Saccharomyces cerevisiae S288C: one gene and its partner. The protein of the gene in region 1 binds, or shares a complex with, the protein of each later gene. Each region holds a gene or a part of one and is shown on either strand. Other genes may lie near its edges. The genes, in order: MIM1 and MIM2.

Region 1 (2,751 bases):
CAACCTAAACACATCGCCCATTGTCCTCCTCAATTGGTTCCTCTCTCTTCTAGACAACTCGTAACCCTGAGCAAATTTAATCAAAAGCTTAGTAGAAACTTTGATTTCGTAACCCAAAAGTTTCGTCCCATTAGCATAATGTTTCAAGGCGTGCTTCACTTTGACCATAAGCGTCTCCTTGGGCTTGGCAGGAGCATCGGTGGATGTTGGAGCTACGGGCTTCGTAACACTTTTCGACTTATCAGTAGAATAAAATCTCAAAGATAAAGGATAGTTGGGCTGTACTCCTTGCGCTCTCAAAGGCCAATGACACGAGGGAATAGTGGAAGCTATTAATCTAGGGCCTTGATTTTTAACAAAATACAAGCTTGCTTGACGTCTTGTCACACATGACGCTCTTGATGCGAAATTCAACATCTTAGTATATTATCTGTAGTGATAGAGATAGCGTATATTATGCGCTGCCTGAAATGCACTGCGCTGTTCATATTCATCACCGTGGCAATGACTGATCCATTTATTTGGAGATGATTCAACGAATAATTTTTCACCGCGGGATTATCGCCCAAGACGGGGTCGTTTGAGGGTAATACCGTGGCTAGCTTTATGGCTTGTGAAACTATTGCCAGTTATGTGGTTACGTATAATCTACCGTATGTGTGTGTGTATTTATTTATGTAGGTTGCTAATGCTTTGGTGATCGTTTAAAGGAACTTGGACGCAACCCTCCCACGGGTGCCAGGGCTTGAAATCTCTTTCAATGCTGCTATTTTGCGCGACTCTGGGTACACCTTATACCCCTTGTTTCTATGGTTAAACCAATTGAATCTCCAGCAGAGCTCGTGAGCAAATAGCTCGCCGAAGCCGAGCATCATGCCGTTGAGGAAGGGCAAAAGTAGGTTGATGGAGCACGAGCCTACAAAGGATACAAGGCTCTGCACAAGTGGGCTCTCGTCGGCACTCACTGTGTTCTGCACCTCCATACAGTCTTTGTCTTCTGATTCGTCATCTGACACGCTCTCCCAGAATCCCACAACCTCTGTCATATTTCTGTCTTGTGGCAGTTTCGTAAGAAGGGGGGTGATGTTTCTAATATTACAGTGATGTTCTATTGTTCAAGTAAAGTGTATGGCTGTTTCTTATGGCGCGGAATATACCACTTCGTTATAAGTGATTACATCTCGTAACGCATTCCTCTTGTTCAGTGGTAGGGGAGGCCGATGGTAGTGGAATAATACGCTTTTATGGGCCATTGGTATTACTATTTATCTTCGTTATAATAAATAGTACACGTTGCAGACATATTTGGAGGAGAGTTTTTAAAGTACTGTTGGGGTGCTCTTGCTGTGCATTGTAAGTAATCGTGTCCCAGTGGCCGAGTGGTTAAGGCGATGCCCTGCTATTTCCTCAGAAAAGCAATTAGGCATTGGGTTTTACCTGCGCAGGTTCGAATCCTGTCTGTGACGCATTTCTTTTTTGTGAATTCTTGCTTCTTATCCTTCTACAATCCTTTCGTGACATTTATTGAATCATCTCTACAAAATTTTTACACATAGCTAAGGTTAGCTTGTTCTACATTACACAAGTGGTAGCAAAATCGTTTACATTGCACTCAGCTATATCAACATCACGTTCTACCGCAACTAGTAATGAGCTTGCACATTAGTAAACTGATTGAGCAATATCGTTCCACTAAGGACAATGACCTTAAATATATGCTTTTAAGGCAAAACTTTAAAATTAACGACATAGAGGATGAGCTGGCTCCTCTTGTTAACGAATTGCTGCTCCCGGTATTGGTCGAAGAACAAGACATGGAAATTCTCAACCTAGTATCGTTTCAAGTGCTCCCCGATTTAGTTCTTTCTATGATCAGCGACCCTGCAGCTGCTCAGTTGGGATGGGTAATAAGCTTGATATGCGACCCTTTATTAAACCAAAGCATGATACATGCAAATCGTTCTTTTGTTCTGATTGAGACACTAAGAAATGTGTTACAAAAAATTGAAAACTCCCCTCATTTAGATTACCACCAACCAGTAAACAGTTCATTAGAGTTTATCTCCAAATTTATTGTTGAAATGAAAAGGCATATGTGTGATGTGGATGCTGCGCAGCTTTCACATTCACTTTCTGAAAGCAATATGCTAATTTACATAGAATCCCTTAATCTATTGCTAAAATTTAGCTTCTTTTCAGACGCGGCAAGTCCTTCAGTAATGGTCACACTGCCCTTTGATATTTTGAATGACGTTTTTACAATTGCGCAGGACTATTCTGCTACGAATACAAATGAAAGCATTGATAGGATCACAGAAAAATTACTTTTGACTTCTACGCAATTAACTCATCCGGTGGACCTGGAAAATTTATGCCCCAAAATGAAGTACAATACTTTAGCAGCAGTTTCTCGAATATGGTACAAATTTGGCCCCATAGTCGATAAATTATTTACTAACCGGCTATTACCGGTTCTATTCCCCCCGCAAATGGGAGAAGAATGTAACGTCGAAGATGTTCTCGAAATAGTTCATAACTTCCATCCATATTTTTCTATTCGTAGGCTAAAGGATAATAGGCCTCTATTGTCAGATTCGACTATTAGCCAGCTAAGAGAGGGTTTGTTTGGTATGCTCAGCATATTAAACGACTCGCTGACAAGGACGCAAAATGAAAACGACCATGGTAGCGACAATCTGATCGACAGTGACGACGGATTTGGCTCAGACAACGATCCTGAACAACAAGCGT
Region 2 (2,767 bases), on another chromosome or scaffold:
CTTGTATGTCGGATTTGTCACTGCCTCCAATGGATTGGTGAAAACCTCCTTGACCGCTCCGATCCAATCTATACCGTCAAAGATACCTTGCGCAGCATTCACGAAAAGGTAGTTTATCGCCCTGTACTTTTTGTTGATGTCGTAATATGCGTTCAAGACACTCACCATGTTGGTGAAGTCCACCAACAGATAATCAAAGTCTATTTCCAAATCCTCTACACGGCCTGATTTGTTGTAAAAATCTTTAATCTGGTTAATCACCTCCTGCACTCGAGGAAGCGTTCTAGAAGTCACCACAATGGTCAATCTGACATTGGTGTCCTCAGTTTCAATCAGACGGAACACAATGTTCAGACCAAGATTACTATTAGTACCCGTTACGATAGCTACTTTCCTGTTCATCCTATCCTCCTACTTTTTCTCTTTGCTACTTTTTTTCGACACAGATCATGTGCTTGTTTCTCGTCCTATCTTTTAAATACCTGCTCAATTCAAGATGCCGTTCTTTCGTTAAACGACCATAAATAAAGGCCCACGTACTATCGGAGATAAAACAACGGGTGTGCGAAAAGTGCCATTTATCTGTTATAACTGCTATATGCGGATACATAAACAACAAACACTTATACAAAGTGTTCAATGAACCTACTCCATAGAGTCTTGGCCATTCTCCTACCTATATACTTGCCCAGCAGGGGCAGCAGGACCCAGTTGAGCAGCTTGTTCAACTGTTGCAGCGACTCTTCCCATTGACGCTGTGCATCTGCGAGCTCGTTGCTGAGTGACGTGTCCTCGTCGCTGAGGTAACCATCTTCTTCCAGGCCCTCCACGCTGTTGATTGTGTCGATGCCCTGCAGGATCACAGAGGTATCCTCGCTATCTGCCATGTTCTAGTTATTGTTGCTCGTGCAGTGATGTGCTGTGGTGCTGGGGAGTGGTTTGCTCTGCCGATCTTGCTTGTAACGGCCGGCCGTTAAATGGGCCTTCGGGGTCCAAACGAGGCGCGGTTTCGTGAATCTTGCTTGGCTGTTTTTGGCTTGTTAATCCCAATTTGCGATAGTTTACGTTTCCACGGGGCACTGCTCAACGGGTTTAGTTCCGTGGAGCAGATGTGTTGCAGATACTAGTTGATATTTATGTTGATGTTGATCATTCTTGTGGCACAAAAGTATAAATAAAGCAGCGTGCTCTTTTTTGTACGTGGAGTAGTAGAAGTATATTCGCAGGTCTTTCTCTCATTGTTCAGGACATATACATACGTAAGCGTAGTTTTCTTCAGTAGAATGTGGACAAACACTTTCAAATGGTGCAGCAAAACTGAGAAGGAGACCACTACTGCAGACGCCAAGGTGTGTGCTAGCGTGCAGGGCCTGAAGGCCCTGCAGCAGCAAATTATGGATAGCACCACTGTGCGTGGGTCCGTTAATAACACGATGACTCCAGGCGGGATTAACCAGTGGCATTTCCACAATAAGCGTGCGAACAAAGTGTGCACGCCTACAGTACTAATCCATGGATACGCTGCCTCGTCGATGGCGTTCTACAGGACGTTTGAGAACCTGTCAGACAACATTAAAGATCTATATGCCATCGACTTGCCAGCCAATGGTGCCTCAGAGGCGCCAGCATTGCAAGTGAACAAAACCAAGAAGATCAAGTCTCTCAGGTTTAAGCATATAGAAGATGACGTAGTAATCCCTGTGATAGAGAAGCGCCCCCCAGCAGAGGACATCAAGTCACACCTGGAGCAGTACGAAAGCTACTTCGTAGACAGGATAGAGCAATGGCGGAAGGATAACAAGCTTCGCAAAATAAACGTGGTGGGCCATTCATTCGGAGGATATATTTCATTCAAATACGCCCTCAAGTACCCTGATTCCATTGAGAAACTGTGTCTCATATCTCCTCTTGGTGTGGAAAACAGTATACATGCTATCACCCACAAATGGGAGCCCAACACCACCTATCCACTTACGTTTACCGACCCATCGTCCCGATATTATACAAGAAAGCTGAACGTACCGCGGTTTATCTTTGAAAACCAGCTAAACGTTTTGAAGTGGATGGGACCCATAGGCTCCAAATTGTGCTCGAACTACATCTCCACCGCATACGTAAAAGTTCCGGATCAGATATATAAGGACTATCTTTTGCACTCATTTGTCGGGAAGAACCAGACGGTGCAACCACAGACAATCAAGGTGTTCACCCATTTGTTTGAAAGGAATCTGATCGCTAGAGATCCGATAATAAACAACGTTCGTTTTTTGAACCCAGCAACGCCTGTCATGTTCATGTATGGCGAGCACGATTGGATGGATAAATATGCGGGCTACTTGACTACTGAATCAATGCTAAAAAACAAGGCAAAGGCTAGCTACGTTGAAGTCCCTGATGCTGGCCATAATCTTTTCCTGGACAACCCGCAGCACTTTGCCTCTTCTTTAGTCTCGTTCCTGTCAAAGTAATGCCTATATAGAGTAGAGAAGAAAAATACAATATGGAAAACCACGCATATATATATATATATATATAAATACATACATATACATAATACATCACTTTACTTAACCGTATACAAGATAGAGCAACATATACATCAAGAGTGTAAACCTCTCATATGTGAGCGGATGTTCCGATCCATCCCGAACGAAACAAAGCAAAATCAACAAGTTGACATCGCCGTAAGTTTTCAAAAATAGCCCTTTTAAAACTCGAAGCTCTACACAATCGCAGCAATGATGTTGGAGCCTTCACCTCCACCTTT

What was found.
Region 2: MIM1 (region 1) and MIM2 share a complex: the UniProt entries of both Saccharomyces cerevisiae proteins name them as parts of the MIM complex.

What each region holds. Positions count from the first base shown.
Region 1 is NC_001147.6:273,308-276,058, forward strand, and holds MIM1 (Mim1p), read right to left. Parts: upstream 1,047-2,751; coding exon 705-1,046; downstream 1-704. Other genes in the region: ribosome-binding protein MDM38, read right to left, coding at 1-417; LAG2 (Lag2p), read left to right, coding at 1,650-2,751. UniProt on the Saccharomyces cerevisiae protein: Component of the MIM complex required for mitochondrial outer membrane protein import. The MIM complex cooperates with the receptor TOM70 in binding of precursor proteins and promotes their insertion and assembly into the outer membrane.
Region 2 is NC_001144.5:339,445-342,211, reverse strand, and holds MIM2 (Mim2p), read right to left. Parts: upstream 888-2,767; coding exon 624-887; downstream 1-623. Other genes in the region: ERG27 (3-keto-steroid reductase), read right to left, coding at 1-402; lysophosphatidic acid acyltransferase ICT1, read left to right, coding at 1,284-2,468; CHA4 (Cha4p), read left to right, coding at 2,739-2,767. UniProt on the Saccharomyces cerevisiae protein: Component of the MIM complex required for outer membrane protein import. Involved in import of the subset of proteins with multiple alpha-helical transmembrane segments, including UGO1, TOM20 and FZO1.